4 linked regions of the Drosophila melanogaster genome follow. The protein of the gene in region 1 interacts with the protein of each later gene in a pairwise test. Each region holds a gene or a part of one and is shown in the gene's direction. Other genes may lie near its edges.

The links.
Region 2: the proteins of CG14881 (region 1) and SMSr interact in a two-hybrid assay, tested with the Drosophila melanogaster proteins (one large-scale study listed by BioGRID).
Region 3: the proteins of CG14881 (region 1) and mgr interact in a two-hybrid assay, tested with the Drosophila melanogaster proteins (one large-scale study listed by BioGRID).
Region 4: the proteins of CG14881 (region 1) and CG4998 interact in a two-hybrid assay, tested with the Drosophila melanogaster proteins (one large-scale study listed by BioGRID).

What each region holds. Positions count from the first base shown.
Region 1 is NT_033777.3:16,433,183-16,436,584, forward strand, and holds CG14881 (uncharacterized protein), read left to right. Parts: upstream 1-1,716; 5' UTR 1,717-1,782; coding exon 1,783-1,891; intron 1,892-1,951; coding exon 1,952-2,119; intron 2,120-2,173; coding exon 2,174-2,385; coding exon of another isoform or gene 2,386-2,473; coding exon 2,474-2,845; 3' UTR 2,846-2,884; downstream 2,885-3,402. Other genes in the region: Fntb (farnesyl transferase beta subunit), read left to right, coding at 56-312, 375-1,046, 1,103-1,334; mRpS33 (mitochondrial ribosomal protein S33), read right to left, coding at 2,895-3,116, 3,179-3,298.
Region 2 is NT_037436.4:7,375,445-7,383,077, reverse strand, and holds the start of SMSr (sphingomyelin synthase related), read left to right. Parts: upstream 1-1,603; 5' UTR 1,604-1,847; coding exon 1,848-2,457; intron 2,458-7,169; coding exon 7,170-7,633. Other genes in the region: smid (smallminded), read right to left, coding at 1-184, 243-293, 347-691, 744-867, 1,067-1,123.
Region 3 is NT_033777.3:11,408,265-11,411,590, reverse strand, and holds mgr (merry-go-round), read left to right. Parts: upstream 1-1,715; 5' UTR 1,716-1,822; coding exon 1,823-1,909; intron 1,910-1,986; coding exon 1,987-2,381; intron 2,382-2,442; coding exon 2,443-2,545; 3' UTR 2,546-2,799; downstream 2,800-3,326. Other genes in the region: Irbp (inverted repeat-binding protein), read right to left, coding at 1-535, 781-1,453; mRpL40 (mitochondrial ribosomal protein L40), read right to left, coding at 2,887-3,205, 3,265-3,326. UniProt on the Drosophila melanogaster protein: Binds specifically to cytosolic chaperonin (c-CPN) and transfers target proteins to it. Binds to nascent polypeptide chain and promotes folding in an environment in which there are many competing pathways for nonnative proteins.
Region 4 is NT_037436.4:16,337,466-16,345,038, forward strand, and holds the start of CG4998 (uncharacterized protein), read left to right. Parts: upstream 1-1,537; 5' UTR 1,538-1,683; intron 1,684-2,970; 5' UTR 2,971-2,978; coding exon 2,979-4,751; intron 4,752-5,139; coding exon 5,140-6,021; intron 6,022-6,328; coding exon 6,329-6,627; intron 6,628-6,692; coding exon 6,693-7,296; 3' UTR 7,297-7,573.

The sequences.
Region 1 (3,402 bases):
TGAGTAATCCCCGAATGTCGCCCAGGAAAAGATAAGAGCCGATGAATACTTGCAGCAAAAGACGGAGAGTTCGGTGGAGAAATGCTTCGACCGCTTCGAGCAGATAATGTTCACCGACCCGCGCCTCACCCAGATCTTCCGGCTGGAGCACCAGTACTACCTGGACGCGATGCTGAGGCGGCTGCCGTCCAATTACGAGTGCCTGGACAGCAGTCGCGCGTGGTGCGTTTACTGGATCCTGCAGGCGGCCCAGCTACTTAGCTTTAACTTCGACGACCAGACATTGAACCACGTGGTCCAGTTTCTAAGCAAGTGCGTCTTTGAAGGATATTTCTCTAATAGGCATCCTTAATGCTCCAATCACTCTTTCATAGCTGCCGTTCGCCGACTGGGGGTTTTGGAGGAGGACCTGGACAGTATGCCCATCTGGCGCCCACCTATGCAGCAGTGAACAGTCTGTGCATCATCGGAAGCGAGCAGGCGTACCGTGCCATAGACCGACCGACTTTGGTCCAGTTCCTGTTCAGTGTACGTGACTCAGACGGCTCCTTCCGGCTCCACGTGGATGGTGAGACGGATGTGCGTGGCGCCTACTGCGCAATCTCCTGCGCAAAGCTGCTAAATCTTCCCGAGCCAGTGATCAAGGAGCTATTTGCCGGCACTGGCGACTGGATAGCCCAGTGTCAGACATACGAGGGAGGATTTGGAGGAGCCCCTGGTCTGGAGGCCCATGGTGGCTACACCTTCTGCGGAATCGCGGGCCTGGCGCTGCTCAACGAGGCTGATAAGTGCGACAGGCAGGCTTTGCTCAAATGGACACTGCGCCGTCAGATGACCTACGAAGGCGGCTTCCAAGGGAGGACCAACAAACTGGTTGATGGCTGCTACTCCTTCTGGGTGGGAGCCACCATTCCCATTACGCAGGCAACGCTATCCGGCGTCGATAAGCAAATGGAGCACACCCTTTTCGATGTGGAGGCCCTGCAGGAGTACATCCTGCTCTGCTGCCAAAAGCAGAGCGGCGGGCTTATCGACAAACCCGGAAAGTAAGGGATTAATGCCAACATTGTGATGTTTTTTAATGTAAAACCCATATTTTCAGACCGCAGGATCTCTACCACACATGCTATACTCTTAGTGGCGTTTCCATTGCCCAGCACTCGGAGTGCGCCAGCAGCCCCCAGGTCCTGGGCGACACCATTAACGAGCTACTGCCTACCCACCCACTGTTCAACATCCCACCAAAGTCAGTTGCAGCTGCCAGGAGCCACTTCAGCAATTCCAATGACACAGAGTTCTTGGGGAAAGACAGTCCCAGCAAGGAGGAGAGTTAAGGCTTCAGGTCAGGAGGAGGAGCCTGCGTAATGAGGACGTTTTGCTGGTGGTTTACCTTTAAAGAACTAAACTTGGTTTAATAAATTAATCTTTGAAATATTGTATTTTTCGCTTCTTGTATAAATGTACTTATTGGAAAAGGAATTGATTAAAATGTTTAACGTTTTCTAAAAAATATTTATGTCATATATTATTTCGAAATAAAATTATTATGTTTTCAAATAAATTCATGTGTGATTTTGTACAACAACCCAATTGCTCATTATAAAAAAAAATGAGATGAAACAAATAACTTTTATAAATGTGGCTTTGAATCCGAAAGCTATTATTTTGCCCCCAATGTATTTCAGCACGTTTATATGTGAATGGTAAAACATGAATAGTTTGCGTTGTGAATGGCATTTTGGGACTGATTTCAAATCGCAGCTTTGCCTTCGCATCCTTTTTATGTTCTCCAGCCACAGGACATTGAAGAGGAGGACGCCTGCCCAGGGCATTGACCGCCGGGAGTACATTGGTCACCTGGTCGATGAGTATTATACGACAACCAACATCGGTAAGGTTTTTATTCACGTCATTTTGCCGGTGTGAATTCATTTTTGATTTTCATTATTAGAGGCCCAGCAGCAGGTGACTGCTAATTTGGCCAATTTTGCATACGATCCCATCAACTGGTCGCATCTCCTGGAGGCGGACGCCTTGGATGTATTTGTGGCATCGCTGGAGACACAGGATCAGCTATTAAAAGTGCACGGAATTGCGGCATTGTGTAACCTTTGCCTGGGTAAGCAAACATTTGATTTTCAAACCAACCTTGTTCATCATATTCTTATTGCAGACAAAACGGCTGCCAAATTTATCAGAGAGCAGCTAAAACTGCTAACCGGCCTCTTTGTGCGCACTGATCACCCGGAAATAGTACTTCACAGCCTGGCGCTCTTTTACCAATTACTGGAATTTGGTGAACGGACTGAACGGGATTTACTTCTGAGCCCTGCGGTGCTAAGGACGGTGCAAGAGTGGCGGGTCAAGGCCCACGATGAACGCATCGTTAAACTTTGTCAGTTGCTGCTGCAAGATTTCGCAACACGCACAGAGGTTGTCCAGCTGCAAAAGGCTTCCCCAAACGTTCCGACAGCTGAGCAGCAAAGCAGTGAAGCAGGTGCAAGTGGTTAAGCGGTTTTCCCAAAGCGATTTGGAGCAGTTTGCCCAGTTCACCGGCGACCACAACTACATCCATAGTCTGGAAACGCCCACCGAGGAGCGCCGCGTCCATGGAGCCCTGCTCAACGCGGTGGTGGCTGGTATAATGGGTACCCAGCTCCCTGGTCCGGGCACCGTGGTTCTAGAGCAGAATTTCAAGTTTCTGAAACCCTGTCGTATTGAGACCGACACCGTGGTGACCGTACGTCTGCTACAATCTCGCAAGATTTCCACCGTGGAGTACGATATAAGGCAGAACGACGAGGTGGTGTTCGCCGGCAGCGCCAAGTTGCTGACTCGCAACTAAAAAGACTAGCTTTGGTTCAATAAAAGTGGATGTTAGAATATTTATTTTACTACTTCTTTGAGGCCCGCTTGCCCTCGCCCTTCTTGGGAGGCGCCTTGCCGCGCAGCTTGCGCAGACGCTTCATCTCCTCCTTGAAGTCCTGGTGCTCATCGCGGAACAGTCCGTAGTCGCGAAGGTTCTTCATCAGCAAGTGCGTCTCCACGTGCCGCGGATACCAGTTGATCACGTAGTCCCGTTTGTGAATTGGTTCCTCCGAGAACATGCGAACCACCTGGGGAAGGTCGGATAAAACATGTTTACATTTTAATTAATAAATTTATTTCGAGAACATACCTTCATGGACTTCTCGTTTGTGGTGCGAGCCACTTCGCCGAAAATGCGATTTGAGAGGTAGTTCATCCGGCGAGCATACTGCGTGCCGACCTTAATCAGCTCCGTGTACTTGTGGGACATAGTTAATATTAGTTTGCTATGCTTTTCATGAAATAATTTAAGTTAAGTTTCTAAGTTTTAGTAAATTGCGGTTATGTCACGAAACAAAAACAAGCGACAGCTGA
Region 2 (7,633 bases), on another chromosome or scaffold:
CCAATGTCCCGGAAACTTTCCGTTGGGTGCTGCACCTCCAGATCCCTTTTGAACTTCCGAAGGCGATCGCGACTTTGGTTTTGGTGCAACTGCTGATATAAGCCAGGCACATTACGGTGATCTTTGGAACGCGGAACGGCGTCCTCTGAAAGATTTTTCGCTCTGTTGCCCACAACTTGGTGCACTAAAACAAAAAGTTTAGGTTTCATTGATTTTACAAAAGTATTTAAAAAAAAACTCACGCTTTTGAATGGCCTCCGAACTGCTAACGTGAATAGTATTCGGTTTAGCTACTAATGAAGAATGTCATTTAACCAAGTCATAGACTAATGGATTGATAACCCACCTTTCTTTGCAGCCACTGCGATCTCCGGCACTTCCTCCATCAGGCGTTTCAAAGCACTGCCCTGCACTGCTGGAGTAGGAGGAGGAGGAGCAGCAGCAGCAGCTACCCCATCTCCGTTGGTGGTTTTTGTATTGGAGTCATCTTCGTTCTCGTCTCCACTGGATATATCGATGGGCTCGCTGATTGGCTTGGGCGCCAGCGGCTTTCTTGGTTGACTATACAGGCTGTTCATCATATTGTTCATCACACTATTCGTGGGTGGTGGCTCGGAGTCCTCGCTAACACAATCTTCCTCGGAACTGCTTACCTTGTCCAAGTTATAGCTTTCCGAAATGATCGAGAATGCTGTAATAGAAATATTTGTTAAAAACAAATAACCACAATGTTCCATGTTTACCTTGGTGCACCAGCTGTCTGAATGGTCCGAATTTGCGTCGTGAATATTCCGGATACTTTTGCATCAACTCCCTGGTCATCTGTTTCACATCCAGGTAGGTTTCCCCGATGTGCTCCTCCAGATACTGAAATCGAAAGTAGAACGCAATTAGCACACGATGCGGGTAGCCTGCGACCTAACCTTGTTTTCCCTTGCCCAAAATCGCCGCCCTGCAAAGGGTTTTTGTGTGTTTTTTTTTTTTTTTTTGTGCTGCTTTCATGGGAATTTACCGGCTATCGGGCAGCTGGCTAGTTTGTGGATATAAACAACGGATTTGGACACACCTTCTTTACTCGGATCGTTATTAGATGGTCGTGCAGCAGCGGCTTGGCTTTCTTCATATTATTCGAGGATTACTTCTGTCTAGACATTCGCACGAGGACAATTAAATCACTTTGCCGCTCGCAAAATGCTAACGAAGCGAAGCTGTGGCTTCGATATCTTCGCTTTGGAGGCCGTTTCCACTCTTCCACATTTTCACCATGGTTTCGTATATATCGAACGAGATTTATATCAGTCAAGCGTTAATATTTAAATAATTTCTACTCGCCAGACACCTCAAATTGTTTTATTTAAAATAATATTAAGCTAACGATAAGAGTTTTAAACCTTTTGACTTTTACGAGAGCGAAATTCTCGAAAATTTTTCGGTGTGAACACGCAGTTAAGACCGAAGTAACTGTTCATCGATAGCGTTGGCGTTGTCCAAAAACTATCGATGGCCGAAGTCAGCTGTTCGGCCTTGTTATCTCGCTCCCGCCCCCAGCATAGTTGCTGACTCCGCTCTGCTCTCTCGCTTGCTCTCTGAACGGAACAACTGAGTAGTCTGAATTTAACAAGTAACCAAACCAAAAATTAAATGTGCTTTTACATCAACAAACGCTGGACGCGCAATAAGTGAGGTGTTAATTATGCGCCGCAGCAGCAACAGCAGCCAGCAGTGAAAAAATGTTGCACTCCATCTGAGTTCGGCCGCACAATTGTTTTGGATTTTGGATAAATCGCAAAATTGGAACGAATAAGAAACAGCCAGAAGAACATCGAACGGAAAAAAAAGAAAGCGCGATGTGCGACGGTGAAATTGGCGATCCGGTGACTCAGCCACGTTCCGAGGGCGGTGGATTGGTCACAATGGATCAGGAGACCCGGACGCACTACCTCGACGCGGCGACAGATAAGCACCTGACCAATGGATCGCCAGATCCAGAGCCCGTGGATCCGCTACTCGTGGCCCAGTGGTCCATCGAGAATGTGACCAGTTGGGCCACCTGCATGGAGCACTTTTCGAGAACACTGCTCGACTGCCTGCGCCAGGAGGCCATCGACGGCGAGGTGCTGCTCTCCCTCACCGAGGAGGATGTACGTGATATGCGCTACAAACTGGGCTACAAACTCACCTTCGGCGAGCTCAAGAAATTCTGGATAGCCGTGCTCAAGCTGCAGCTACTGGTGAAGAACAGCTCTGCGGAATCCGTAATACTGGGCATCGAGTGCCATGGGAACGGGAACTCGGTATACATGCCACTAGCCAGCACCGGCTGCGGTCCACCGTCCTCATCCACGTGCCCCTGTCCGCAGGCCGAATGCCCCAGCTATGTGTCCGATTGCGATACCTATTTGCGCATGGGCGGACGCTATGTTCCGCCGGAATACTTCAAGACCGCCATGAGCTTAGGTGAGTGGTCCACAACCTGCCCCCCTTCAATTACGAAGGTCAATTGTCCATTGATTGCTTCGGCGGGCTTATCGGTCGTGTGCCAATTCTCGAGAGCTTTTCGCTTTTCTCTATATAGCGCAGTTCAGGCATATACTTTCCTTGCGATAGCCGAGAAGTAAGAGGTTTCCCCATGGGTATGACTATTATGTAGTATATATATAGTAAAATTGTTGTTTTATTTATGAGTCGAACTAATGTCCCGTCAGTTGACTAAGGACAACGCCAAGAAATAAAAAATAGTTTTTAGGAGAAATAGTTTCACGACTTTATTCTTTGGATCTCAGCTTAAGACTAAAAATCAAATGCAAATTGGATTGAGGAGAAGCCTCAGTATTTGAACAATATTTGTATTTCGGGAGAGCCTCGCTCTTGGGTTCTTAAGATTAGGTAGCGTTGAAAGAGGGCAGTCAAATCTGCTTAGGTCAGGCTTTAGGATGTTTACAAGAACGGCTGCGCTGCCAAAGATAAACGAATGCTGCGCAGCTGGGATACGTTATGGAAAATTACTAGAGTGCATTACTGATTTCTTTGAAATAATGGAAGTGGCTGGTTTGGACCACCCAAATACGTCACTCCCCTTCCCTTAAAGAGAAGCCTATACTTGGGCTGGGATTGATGGATATAGTGTGGGAAATGGAGTTTCTTCTATTTCTGTTTGTTGTGGTGTGTTTTGATTTTGATTTTTTCTTATTTTAAGTTTTGCATACAGCATCATAAATGGTTTAAATGATACATATCTTAAATATGAGTACAACAAAATTAGTGCGATTATTACAATGATCATTTGTATGTAAAGTGTAATATTGTTCTCTGAAATCATCTCAACAATGTCGTTGTGTTTTACAATTTTTATTTTTGTTATATTAAGTGGTGTGTATAGTGGTGTCAAATCTATTTCTGGTTCTAACAGATTTTCACTTAAAATTATATTATTGATTTCTATTTTGCATTGCGTTACTCTTATCATTTTGTTTCCTTCTATTTTTATTTTATTAATTGAATTTTGGCAATTTTGGTTAAGAATTGTTTGGGTTAAGTTCCAGGTTACAATTGTGTTTGGTTCTATGTATTTTATTATTTCGTTCGTGTGTACTGGCTTAAAATTACAAATTGGATTTAAGTGTTTAATAATATTGGTGACACATTCATTTTTTACTTCTTTATTTTCGGTATTATAAACTTTATTTTCTTTTTCAAAATATGATTGTGTGTCTGTGTAATCTAGCTGATAGCCGTTGGAGTCTGGGTAAGGAATTATTTTAATTGTGCTTATTAGTGAAAGGTAAATGGGTATGTGGGATATGATTAATACTTGGTTATCATTGTAGTTAATCCAAGTGGATGTTTTAATGTTCAAAATGTTTTGGCTGTTCACATTTTCAAGTTTGTCGTAGTTTAGTAATTTGGGGTTAAACAGTCCAAGTCTGGAAAGCTGCATAGCCATTTCCAAATCTTCTATGTATTCCGTAAACTGCATTAGTTCGAACAAAAGACTGTCAATGATGGTGTGGTTATTTTCATAATTCTGTATTTTTTTGCATTCCGTCATTTATCAATCGTATGGCGTCGTTGAGTTCATGTAATTTTACTGAGTTATGGACGTTGATTTCAAGTTTTTTCTGTATTTCGACTCGATCATTTTCATCTAGTGTTCCAAATAGGTATTTAAAACCTGAACCCACAATGTTAATAAGACCCCGTTTGTTTCTATGTTTCAGGGTTATTCCGGCTAGTTCTCTTTTTATTTTATTGTATAAAAAATTGATCTGGGGTGCATGGTAATCGGTTCGTAGTCTTTGCTCAAAATAGTCAACCACGATGTCTATTTCAGTTAAATTGATTTTTAAGGAGTGATGTTCAAAGGAGGATGGTATCTGTACTGGCTTATCAGAAAAAAGGAGATATCCGTGGTTGGTGTCAATATTATTAATTTGAATTTGTTGTCCATGAACAGCTGTGATCAGTATAAACAATAGTGTTATCGGGTACCAGGTGCCTTCCAGGTGTAGTTTCGAAATTAGTAATTGACGTCGTCTCTCCGCTTCTTCGCAGAATGCTCTTAGGCTTCCTCTGTATGGTGTCTCCCTGAAGTTCTCCAGAAGTTTGTAGTTTGGTGTTTGAATTTTAAATTCCGCGATGAGTCTTGCTTTAAGGGTAGGCCAATCTTCGATGTTCGGAAGTCCCAAAGATCGTGTAATTTGTCCGTCCAAGTTCCTTTCGATGGCTCCCAGTAGAATCCTCTGTTGTCGGACATCATTTGTTTGGTAGAGCGAAATTACGTAATCCACTCTGCTGATAAAGGTGTGAAGGGTTTCTGGATCACCCTTGAATGGCATAATGTCTTTAAGCTGCCGACGGGCTTCGGCAAGGTTTATGTCGCTCAGCGCAATAATTGGTTGTGACATTTTTATTGTAAAATTTTTAACTTTTGTGTTTTATTTTTTTGTTTTGTTTCGGATTCAATGTTATTATTATTTTTAAGCTTTCTAGTTTCACTTGTTTGTTTTTTTTTGTTTTGTAAATTTTTGTGTTGTATTATTAAAATTCTATATTGTTTTAATTTTTTATTTTTATATGTTGGTTTTAAAACTTAGTTGCCTTTGGACTTAATATTTTTGTTTCGTATTTCACTTCCACTTATTATTGGATAACCGAATTGGAATTATAATCCAAGTTGAAGAGTTTTCACGAATTTATTTTGGGAGATGTTTCGAGCACTGGACTATAAAATTTAACTTATTTTCCACTCGAAGGTTCTTTTTTTCGGATACTTTTGTATCCTACCGACTGCGCCAGTAAAATTGTTGTTTTATTTATGAGTCGAACTAATGTCCCGTCAGTTGACTAAGGACAACGCCAAGAAATAAAAAATAGTTTTTAGGAGAAATAGTTTCACGACTTTATTCTTTGGATCTCAGCTTAAGACTAAAAATCAAATGCAAATTGGATTGAGGAGAAGCCTCAGTATTTGAACAATATTTGTATTTCGGGAGAGCCTCGCTCTTGGGTTCTTAAGATTAGGTAGCGTTGAAAGAGGGCAGTCAAATCTGCTTAGGTCAGGCTTTAGGATGTTTACAAGAACGGCTGCGCTGCCAAAGATAAACGAATGCTGCGCAGCTGGGATACGTTATGGAAAATTACTAGAGTGCATTACTGATTTCTTTGAAATAATGGAAGTGGCTGGTTTGGACCACCCAAATACGTCACTATATACATATGCATATCTAGATAAGAAGCTCTGGCATATGGCAGTTAACTTTCAAAGGAAATAATATATTATATAAACCTCTGCTCCATTTTATCAGACTTTTGCTATCATTTGCCTTAATAATCCCAACAAGCTACGAAAAAATATCATACATATCACACTTTGATCTTTTTAAACATTAAACATTTAGTTCTTGTCATGTCTGCCAGCATTAATAATTCTAAAATTCTGTAACCAGAAATAAACGCTTTCCATGTGAGAAACATTGCTTTAATTAGTAAATCTAATTCTAGAGTATATCACTCAATCCAATCACTACCTCAGCGATAGGCCAATAATAATGGTTTCAATGTCACGCGTGTTATAAATGTTTAATCAGACCATACGTCATTAAATCCCATTTATAGTTTCTGTACTACTACCTATTCTACGAAAGTAAACGAATTTACCTTCGAGTTCATGGGTTCATTAGCTATGACTTCTAGAGATACGTCACACTCTAAGTTTAATAATGTTTACTGGTCACTGGCGACGCGTTACTATTATTTATTTTGAGCACTTCGGAGGTTATTTGTGTAGACGCCGCTCGCATTTATTTGTGTACTCATATGCCTCTCATTCTGGCTAACTGGTTTTGTTATTTTTGTGTAACTTTGCGTGCATTAAATTTCAAATTCCCATTTGTTTATGATACCCTTCAAACGGCTGGTTTTACTTAACGGGTAAATTTTCAAAAAATTGAACGGCAAAGGAAAACCTAAAAACAGTAGCCAATCGAGTGTTGAATTTTATGTATTATGTTATGTATTTATTTATCTATCTGACAAGTTTTAGCTGATTATTCAAAAAAGGATTGTTCTGTAAAATAATGTTTCACTTGAGTTATAATATTTAAGTGATCAAAGTTCAAACGAAACAATGGGCTTATCTAGGCTAATTTGCTATCAGTGGCTTTTTATTTCGATAATGCATTTATCATTACAGACTATGCTTGTTTTTCTATTGTCATGGCCATTTCAATAGATAAGTCTACATTTTGGCAGATAAAGCTGCTGAAAGATAATTCTTTTGGTAGTAAATATTACACTTTTATCACTTTCGGAACGGGGTCAAACACACTACCAATAATAATACGAAAATAAAATGGTTTCCTTTTCTTTGTTAAAAGGTTTCCGCATTATATACTAAATTATTATACAAACAAAGATGACTATCAGAATAAAGTACATACGTTTATTTGCTCTGATATCTCAAGTTTAGTCATCATTGTGATTCAACTTCATAAATTCGACATCTTGAGATCAATTTGAAATACAAACGTTTTTAGAAATTATATATAGAGAGTTTATAGATTATGGTTGCAAATGACCGATTCCATAACTATTTTTTTTCCGCCTGCTGAGCCAAATTAGTCACACTCTAAATCCGCATGGTAACATCATATTTTTTGTACCATCAACAGGCTACTCGTTCGTTGTCACCTGGATAACATCGTTAACAATGGTTATTGTGCACGAGCGGGTTCCGGATATGAAGCGCTATCCGCCGCTGCCGGACATCTTCCTGGACAACGTGCCGCATATTCCGTGGGCCTTTAATATGTGCGAAATAACCGGCTCACTATTGTTCACCATTTGGGTGGTCGTGCTAACCTTCCACAAGTATAGATTGGTCCTACTGAGGCGATTCTTTGCTCTGGCGGGCACGGTTTTCCTGCTGCGCTGCGTCACCATGTTGATCACGTCGCTGAGCGTACCGGGAACGCATCTGCAGTGCAGCCAGAAGGACTTTGCCATCGATGATCCCAATGTGGACATGGTGGGCGCCTTGATTATCCGCATGTCACGAGCCTATCGCATCTGGAGCGGCCTGGGCATGTCCATTCAGGGAGTGCGGACCTGCGGCGATTATATGTTTAGTGGTCAC
Region 3 (3,326 bases), 5.0 Mb from region 1:
CGCACCAAGCATCGTTCCCACAATGCGCGGAACAAGCGCTTCGATCCGATGATGCTCTGATCATCGGGGTACATGAAATTCGCTGGCTTGATGTAGCTAACTTCGGGAAGAGAGGATCGATGCTTGAAGCCCAGCAGCATCATTTGCGGCTTGTGCAGATTGCGCACCCTGTTCAACTGATCCATGCTGATGCGCAGATCCCTTTCGCCCACGTTGCAAGTGTACCAACCGCCCGTCACCTTAATCTGATACTCGTGCTCGATATCCTGCGAGCCATCGTCCTTTTGTTTTTGCACCGTAATCACTCGCTTAGTACGCACCACACTGTTGTCCCTGCGCAGGATTTGCACTTTGCGCGGATAGGCGCGTCGCTGAAAGTAATTGTAGTACTGTACGGACATGGATAGGTTGGGGCCCAGATAAAAACTGAAGTGGCCCAGGCATCGGCGAAGGAAATCCTGCTTCAACTTACGATCGGACAGGATTTCGCGCAGCATCTGGGCATCTGGCACCTGGAAGGCGTCCAGTTCGATAGCTGCAAAAAAGGTCCTCATTAAACATCATCTAGTGTACGGATTGCTATATATTTATTTTATTATTCTTGTAAGCCAATCCAAAACCACGAACCAATTGAGCTTCACTTGGATGCGGGTGAATGATTGCTTATATTTGATCTACGAAGTCTTAAAACCTTTCAGGCGAAAATTGAACGCCAAACAGGGGAACAGACTTCGCACATTAAAACCCATAAGAAATGAATAGCAGACTTAAAGGACTTACCTCTTGACAACGTGATGAACTCCTTGTAAAACGGCTCGTAGTCAAAGTCATCGACCATGGGAATGACATGAAACTCGAACTCCTTGCCCTCCAGATCGCTGGCCTTTTGCAGGGCAGCCTGGAAGTGATTGCTGTTCGATGGATGAGGTTCCCTGACGTCCGTGACATAGGCGATCTTGGCGTTGTTTAGCTTCTTGCCGCACTTTTCCAGCATCTCGATGCAGAGCCGGATCATAAGGTCAAACCTGCCGCGACCATCGGGTTCCGCCAGGCCATACACATCGGCGAACTGCGTCTCCACCCCGCCCATGAATTCCAGATAGTGCTCCACAATGGGTTTGGTTAGTTGGCGAAGGGGCAAGAACACTGCGCAGTTATCCGGCATTACGATGTTGTCCAATGCACTGGCTTCCAGCGGCGGCGGACTGTGCTTGGTGTTGGCGAAGATGAGTCCGATGAGGTCCTTGTCGTTAACCAGAAGTCCGGATATAAAGGCCGTCCGGATGATGTTCAGTGCCTCCAACAGGCGCTCCACGCCGGCTGTCTGAAGATTGGCGTCTACCACGAACAGAATGGCCTCGCGCCCATGGTAGTCCCGCTTCATGGACACATCCTCCTCGTCCTCGGACCCAGACAGCAGGTCCACATCGTTCTCCGGATTCCAGGTGCTCATTATGCGGCTTCTTTAGATTGCTAAAAATCTGACTTTCCGCTAATTTCACAAGAAGGCGGGCGCGCTTATCGTCGCTGTTGTTATCGATTGAGCTAGGGATGAGAGTCACGAAGAGAATTGATATATATTTAAATTTATTTAGACATTATTTAATGTTTTTAACATATTATATTATCCCAACGTTTATTTATATAATTATTTTAATATAAGTTAGTTTTACATTTTTATACGAAGTTGACCACCACCTTTCGATGACAGCCATTCAATCGATTGTTCCATCGCAATTTTGACTCATCGACTTTTACAGCGGCAGGCTGACCTCCTGAAAATTAAATTGCATTTGTAGACGGCACGGCTGAAGGCAACAGGATGACAGGAATAATGGACTCGGTGGAAATGCCCAAATTACCGGAAAACCAGAAGACCTTCGCCGGCATCCCGGAGGCAGTGTTCCTGGTGAGTGGTCCTAACCTACAAGCGTGCACCTGCAGCTGGACACTGCAGGCTAATTCGTGGTTCTTGGGCCCTTGCAGGAGGAGATCGACACCTTCATGTCGCAGCCGGAGAACGAAAATTGCGAAAAGGTGCTGCAGCGACTGGACGAGCAGCACGGCAAGTATCGATTCATGGCCTGCAATCTGGAGGCGCGGCGGCGCAAGTTGAAGTCTCAAATTCCGGACCTGGAGCGCTCCCTGGAAATGGTCAATGTGCTTCGCAAGGAGGACGAGGAGCGCGAGACGCAATTCCTGCTCAGCGACCAGGTGTTCATCAAGACACTGGTGCCGCCCACGAAAACAGTATACCTCTGGCTGGGGGCCAGCGTGATGCTGGAGTATCCGCTAGACGAGGCGGAGGCTCTGCTGAACCAGAACATCACATCGGCCGTGGGCAACCTAAAGTCCGTGGAGCACGATCAGGATTTTCTGAGGTCAGTTCGAGTGCTGTTATTCAAGTTACTTGTTTTATTGTATTATAAATGTATATTTTAGGGATCAAATCACAACTACGGAGGTGAACATGGCGCGGGTCTACAACTGGGGCGTGAAAAAGCGGCAGGCCGCTACCAAGACCACCGCCACTACCCCATCCTAAGGAGACCCACCCAAATCCCATCCCAAGATCAACATCGGTAGCAGCCACTCGCATCTTATTTATTTCGACAGTACACCGCAAGGGCTCGGCAGGCGATTCCACCTGGCTTATTCTTGTTCTCCACTGATAGCAATAAAACCGCCACACAAACGCATCAAGCTGACTCCAAACGAGATGCCTATTCCGGAGGAATGTAATATTTTAATTTGGCTACGGGCATTTAACTGCATGTAAACCGAATAAACGGCGAACGCAATTCATTGAGAGTAAAGCCGAATTCACAAATCATAGGATTAGGGTTCAGTTTATTTCAAATCTTTAACATCCGGAACTTACACGCCTCATTTGACCTCCCACTTCATGGATTGGTGCAGGTAGTCGCCATCGGGACTGACGTAATCCTTAATGGGGGGCGTGGCAACGGGTCCTTTGACGGCGACGGGCAGCAGCTGGGGATCGATATCGATGGCCGCCTGGTAGAGCTCCTCGGACTCGCGCCGAAGTTCCGCCAGCGCCTTGTTTTGCGCCTGGACCAGCCGGTCGATGATCTGAAAGTCTGCTACGCGCTCGTCGTGCTTGTAGTGCGCCCACTGCTTCTTGAGGAGAGCACGTTCCTCCAACTGGTCGATGGTCAGTGGAGCTAGCTTCCGCTGCCGTTTGCTGAACGATAGGATAGCATTACATCTCAGCATATGAGGGAAACCCGTATGAGAACCTACTCCTTTTCGTCGATGAGCTCCAGTGGAACCTCCAGTTCATCCACGGGCTTCAGCTGACGGGC
Region 4 (7,573 bases), on another chromosome or scaffold:
TAAGATATGAAGCTTTTAAGACCTAATGAGTTATTAATCATGTATGCTAGTTTTCAGACCAGAGTATAACAAACGAAAATAGATGTATTAGTTACTGAAACGTACATTTAAATAAGTTTGATATTTACATTCGGAAAACCCTTTATAGATATTATATTAACAATGTATTAAAATCGATTTCCATCTTATTGATGTACCCCCAAAAAAAGGTAAGCCAAACGGAATTAAAAACGATGCAAAATAAGGTTCGTCGCACCTCCTTCGAAAAGCCCAAAGTGCTCGATAGTATGAGTCATAAAAAACCCGATGGTCAAAAACTACGCCACACGCTACGCTGATTGATAAAAACTTCGTGAATTAATCGCGAGCAAATAGCCAAAAGGTGTTTGGCAAACAGCCCAGAGTGGCGACAATAACAACTCCCGAGAAAAATCAATGTGATTAGCATAATTTTCGAAGCTCTGTTGGTCATTATCAACTTTCTTGGAATGCTTAACATAAAACGCCACTTAGGTGGGGGCTAGATGAACGACTGCAGCACATCGAACCAAGGTCAGTAACACAAGTGGAAGCCACTGGAGCCACTGAATCACAATGAGACTCACTCCGGCCGGGCAGCACTGACCATACACAACACAAACGCAAACCTGATAATGATTGGGATTTAAGGTAGTGGCACGCGAACGTGATCATCGTGAATAAGTTTGGGGGGAATGTCTCTAATTTTTATGAACTTCGGGTAATTCCGCCAAGCGCTTTTTACTCACAGTGAGCTAGGTTAAATAAAAAAAACGTTAAAATAAACGAAAATGAAACGAGTGACCGAGCGATGACGTTTGCATTGACCATGGGTTAAAAACCAGGCGATTTGAACTGAACTGCAACCAAAAAGAGAGGCAGATGTATGAAGTAAAAAAAAAATGGGGAAAGATGAATGTATGCCAAAAGATCCGGTTTGAGGCAATGCCCAATTTTACCCTTTTTCACGATGTTTTTATTATTCAGCGGTTGCTACTCTCTGACCCAATTCATAATTGCAGAATTGCATAATCCCGGTTTCTCAAGCAACGCCTTTCCGGGAAGCTAAATTTGGTTATTTAAAATTTGGTAAAATCATAAAAAAAAAAACAAAGCCCCATTTGGATGTTTAAGACAGTCAGTTATGTTTAAGAGATGTGTTGAATGTGATGATAGTTTCTGGGTTTCTTACTGATAATGAAGCTATCATAGTGATATTTCCGCCTATTTCCGCCTCGTTTACTGACCTCCAGTAGTTGGGCAGAATTGGGGATTTGAGGAAAAAACCCAGACGAAAAATCAACACTAACAGCGAAAAAGAGGGGTTGCCAAACATTGTCGCCGTCGCCGCTTTTGTATCTTTTGTTTTGGGCTACCGATTCGCAAACTAAGGCGGTATGAAAGCTAGAAGAAGACGGAATCAATGCAGACAGAGACAGCGAAACGTTGGAGCTTGACGTCGACGGCGCGCATGCACAGCTTTTGTATAAAATGTGCGCGGCCAACGAAAGCGAAATCAGTGAACGATCTGCAGAGCATCGAAGAGCACAATCGGTGCAGAAAGTGAATGAAGTGAAAGGATAAGAGACTCAGTAAATTGCATAAGGATTATCCGGACAACAGTGATAACTAACCAATTGGATTAATAAACTTGACACAAAAAAGGTGAGTGAAGTGAGCGAAATTAGCAAAGTGAACTCAAGTGAACCGAAAGCGAACTAATTTAAATGAATGGCTATTAGATGTGAATTATGAGTCTGCAGCACATGAAATTATGGTTGTTGCAAATATGCCTACATACATACACTTAATAAAAACTCTTGGCCAAGAGCCTCCGCGTCATTAAGCCAATCGAACAAGCGAAACTTTCACTGCGAACACAAAGGAAAAACCTAAAAAAATTTCCCAAACCCAACCAAACGGCAGTTAGCATCGCTTACGAGCACTTCTCGCCAAAGAAAATCCAAGCGAAAAAGTTGCCGGCAATTTGCAATGCAACGCTGCGCACAACTTCCGGCCGAAAAAGCAGGCCTAAAGAAATCCAAAGATACATTTACATAACTGGAAAATATATACTTGAAAAAAATCATAAAAAATAAAATATAACTCGAAATTGTAGTGTGTAATGCCGCTCTAGATGAATCAGATCTGTTTACATAATCATTTAAAATATAAATATATCTTCTTACTTAAGCATATAATTCCGAGTGGCAAAATTATAATTCTGGCTATCCTATTAGTTACTCCTTAAACCAATATTACATTCATAATTGATTTTTTTGTTAAGTGTAGCCGATCTTTTACAAAATCCGCCCTCGCTGTGAGCCGGTGACATAACTGCAATGCAAACGACCATAAAAATAAAGGCTGAAAAGAAAAGTGAATTTTACCAAATAAAAGAGACACGAAGCGGAAAGCGGCTGTCAGGGCGAGAGATCAAGTTGAGCGATGGTCTTCGGTGGGATTGCAGTCGTAGGCTTGCTAAATCTGTAGGAAAATTACCTCATAAATTACGGGGACCTGAAGCCAGCGATCCCCTCGCCATCCCGACTCGCATTTCGAGCAAAAGTAACGTACAAAATCAGGCAATTAAGTGCTACGGTCTGCGACCTCCAATGAAAGTAAAAGTCTTATACGAGAGTCTGAGTCACGGTGAAGATTTCGTGATGCTAACCGGTTTGGGCTTCGGATTCGGTTTTGTTACGGATTGGTTAAGCCAAAGATGGTATGAGGGATCGGTGGCTAGGTGGAGAAATGTAAACTGGCACAATGACTTGGGGTAATGGTGTCAAGCTCGCCACTTATGTCATAACCAATCATGACTAAACCTCTTAATTTATTTTCCACTCAAAAGAAAAGGCGACAAAGATGGTCAATCAATCACTTGATTAATATATCCGTAGATATTAGAGAATTGGTATCCTAAAGTTTTTCTATCTAATCATTTCACAGGCTTCACAATGAGAATAAGAACTAGCCTTTTGGCAGTTGTACTGCTGGCCACCGCCTCCTTGGCCGAGGAATCCAACTGGGGAAATGAGTGGGCGCCCATGGAGGATGCCATGCCCAGTCGCCGATCTGTCGATACCAAGCCCGCCGAACAAGCTGACATTCAGGGACGTTACCTCGTCCACGAGTCCATCCAGAGCAACAGCACCACCCAGATTGACGAGGTCATCGAGCAGCTGATCAACTCCCGCCGTGAGGGTCGTAATCTGGGGGAATACGATGCCGTCTATGCTGATGGCAATATCGATCAGGCTCTGCAGCAGGGAAACGATATGCAGGCCCGCAATCTTATCCGGGATAAGCTGTGTGGATTGGGACTGATGAGCTGCGATGTGGAGGAGAAGCGTCCCTTCTACTCGACCATCTATGCCCAGGGTCCCCCACCACCATCTGGTTTCAGCGGTGGTCCCTATGGTCCGGCTAAGCCCATGCCCCCACCAAGCTACTTCAGTGGTCGTCCACCAATGGGTGGACCTCCTGGATCTTACGGACCTCCGCCAAGCTCCCTGAACTCCTTTGGACCTCCGCCCAGCTCCGTGAACTCCTTTGGACCGCCAAGGAAGGTGGGATACGAGGGACCATACAAGCCAATGTCTGGACCTTACAGGCCATCTGGACCCGGTGGCTACCTGGAGCATCCTCCACCATCCGCCATTGACGGTTCATCCGACGGTATCACCTACACGAAGCCACCACCCGGAGCCCTGATCTATGACAGCAAGCCACCAGGACCCATCTACACCGGAGGTCCTTCTCTGGGAGCTGGACCCGTTTTTACTGGTGCTTCGAATGGAGTTCCTCCATACAACTACGAGAACCCCGAGGGTGGCATCCAGGGTGCAAGCTCTGCTCCCAATGGTTTCTACTCGCAGCAGTCTTCAGCTTCTTCCGCCTCGGCCACATCCTCCAGCACCAAAGTGGTGGTTGGAGCACCGCTCGATGGTCTGCAGCAACATGTGCATCATCATTATCACCATGTTGAAGGTGGCGAGGGAGCAAAGGTTCCCAGTGTGCCAATTCCCATCGGAGCTGGCCAGACCATTAACACCGACTTCAGTGCCCTGGCCCAATCATCTGCCACATACACTCCCTCCATTCAGACTTCTTCCGGATCCAGTTACTCCCAGTCCAATGCCTTCAATGCTGGCTTTAATGGTGCTTCTCAGGGTGGACTTCTTTCGCAGAACGGTTTTGGAATCTCCCAGAAACCCACTGGAGATCTGTACAAACCAAACTCTGGAGATCTCTACAAGCCCAACTCAGGACTAGGAAACTTTGGCAGCAGTTCCTCTGGAGGATTCAGTGGATCGCCCAGCTCCAGTTATCACAGCCAGAATCCCGACTACTACAAGAAGGAGCTGCAAGGTGGAGCATCCAATCAGTACAATGGCATCTCTGGTGGTTACCAGGGTCAGGGTCAGTACCAGAGTGGATATGACACCTCGCGCCAGCAGATCGTCGACTGCCAGTGTGTGCCCATCTCCCAGTGTCCCGCTGCCGATCGCATTGGACGCAAGGAGGATCTCATTCTGCCTATTGATCCCCGCAACCTGGGCAAGGACATTGAGGCTCTGAGTGACGATGCTCTATCCAGCAATGCTACCACTACTGCTGAGGCTAAGAAGGACGAGGAGAAGGCGGACAAGGATGACAAGAAGCGCACCCGCCGCCAGGCTGATCAAAAGGATGACGAAGCAAGCGATCTCTCACTCGATGCTCAAGGGGTAAGTCCATAGAAGTCTATTAGTTTAAGTAGTGCCCAACTAATGCCAAATCACACATGGTTCACATGGACCACTAATCGAGTTTTAGCCAAGCTCCTCCCTCCCACACACACACACATTCAAATCAAACAACAAATCAATCAGTCAATCAACAAATCAAACCAATCTGACAACTGCACCCATCGTTCAACGCTCCAAGCTCAACTAAAATACCAGAGTGCAAATCGGTTCCGATTAGACCAGTCACTAATCCCAGAACTAAACCAGCTAACCAAGCACGACCTTTGTGATCGCACGCCTGCAACCCGAAACATGCAACCTGCAACCGGCAATCAGAAATGGAACTCCACCTCTAGCGTTCTTATGTTTTCCCCTTACCAACAAATAGAGACAGTCCCCGCTCGGAGGATCTCCATTGGCATTGCCCGCTCTCCAGGCCATCGAGCTGATCCAACGCAAAGTGCTGCCCACCTACGGTGTCAGCTTTGGTTTGCCCTATCCCACTGGCGGGTATGGAGGTTATCCCTCGAATATTCTGGGTGATCATGTGCCCGCTCAAAACCCGTACTTCGGTTCGGTGGGTCCAAATGGTCTGAATCTGGGTCTGGTGAATGTGAATCCTCTGGTATCGGTGCAGGTGGCCAAAACAGAATATGGCGAGAAGGTGGTGAAGCCACTGGTCAATCTGCATGTCACTCCCAATGCGAATCTCATTCAGAAAGTGGGAGACTTCTTTAAGCGGAAGCCCACCGAAGCGTATAGTACACATTACCACCATCACGATCATTATAGTGGCTATGAGCACCACGATTACGATCACCATGACCACCACGATCACCATGACCACCACTCGTATCCGCATTTCTATGGAGGAACTGGACCGGGTCTCCATTTCAGTGTGGAAATGGTCCCAAGTACTCCCATATTTGAGTATCACAGTGGGCCTTCTGTTCAGTATCATCACCACCACGAATCGTCTCCCTACGAGAGCTCCTTCAACTCTATATATCCCGGATCCAGTCCCGATTTCGGGGGCTATGGCGAGTACTCACAGCATGTGGAGCGAAGTGCCAATGTGAGCGGTGGTGATACAGACAGGCCATCGAATTCCGGTCGTCGTGGCAAACAGTTGAACCTGGGACCCCTCTACAACATTCCCACTCCGGCTCCTGGTGAGGCAGCTGGCAGTGATCGGATCACTTTCCCACGGGATCGCAGGCGCAGGAGCGTTGAGGATGGTGTGTGGGCGGGAGCAGCTCCTAAGGAGCAGGTAACCATGTGTGGCTAAAGCATTAAAGTTCATTCGAAAGCGTCAATAGAGTACTAAAGTCCATAACTACAAAATTGAAAAATTTCATGAGAAGTTCAGTCCCAAATTATGTAACTATTTTGTAAAACTTTTTAAGAGTCAAAGAACCCCACATTTTATAAATATTCTTAATTGTTTATTGATTAAATCATTGATGGTAATTAGGAAAAGTTATATGGCATTCAAAGTACATTTCAAATCCAGATAAGATTGTACCCATTCCTCCAACATTTATCTAATTGCGATTGCCTTCCTTGATATTTTCCAGCGTGCCTATTATGGAAACCGACCCGTGGAAAAGACCTGCCGCATCAACGAAGTCTGCTGCCGTCGTCCACTGCGTCCCCAGGCTCCTCCCCAGCAATTTGGTCGTTGTGGAGTGAGGAACGCCGCTGGAATCACCGGTCGCATCAAGAATCCCGTCTACGTTGATGGAGACAGTGAGTTCGGCGAGTATCCCTGGCATGTGGCCATTCTGAAGAAGGATCCCAAGGAGTCGATCTACGCCTGCGGTGGCACGCTCATCGATGCCCAGCACATCATTTCCGCTGCCCATTGCATTAAATCGTAAGTTCTAGAGTCATAAAAGTATATTTCACCAGAGCATTAACCAATTGCTTCTTTCTATCCAGTCAAAATGGCTTCGATCTTCGTGTGCGTCTGGGCGAATGGGATGTCAACCACGATGTGGAGTTCTTCCCCTACATTGAACGCGATGTGGTTTCCGTGCACATCCATCCCGAGTACTATGCCGGCACTCTGGACAATGATCTGGCCGTTCTGAAACTGGATCAACCCGTTGACTTCACCAAGAATCCGCACATTAGTCCCGCCTGTCTGCCCGACAAGTATTCCGATTTCACTGGAGCTCGTTGCTGGACAACTGGATGGGGCAAGGATGCCTTCGGCGAGCACGGAAAGTACCAGAACATTCTGAAGGAGGTGGATGTGCCAATCCTATCGCACCAACAGTGCGAGTCCCAGCTGAGGAACACGCGTCTGGGCTATAGCTACAAACTGAATCCCGGATTTGTGTGCGCCGGCGGAGAGGAGGGCAAGGATGCCTGCAAGGGTGATGGCGGTGGCCCATTGGTGTGCGACCGGAATGGAGCCATGCACGTGGTCGGAGTGGTGTCCTGGGGCATTGGATGTGGTCAGGTGAACGTTCCCGGCGTCTACGTTAAGGTCTCCGCCTACCTGCCCTGGATCCAACAGATCACCCAGAGCTATCAATGATTAACGGATCAGCAGACTGACAAGGAGGAGGTGACTGGCTACCATGCGAATATCACCGGATCCGTTCCGGTTGACACCTCCTCCGATGAGTTCGTTTTCCACTTCTGACCGAAGCCATCTTTCAACACTCTCGCATTCCAACTACCGACCGAATCGTTTCGATAGTGGCATTCGTCATCGTATTTATCACTCTTAGTTATTACGGATGTCTCCTTGAATACCTGTTATATTTTGTTATATATATGATTCACTTCCCTTCACTTCACTTGTTGACCCA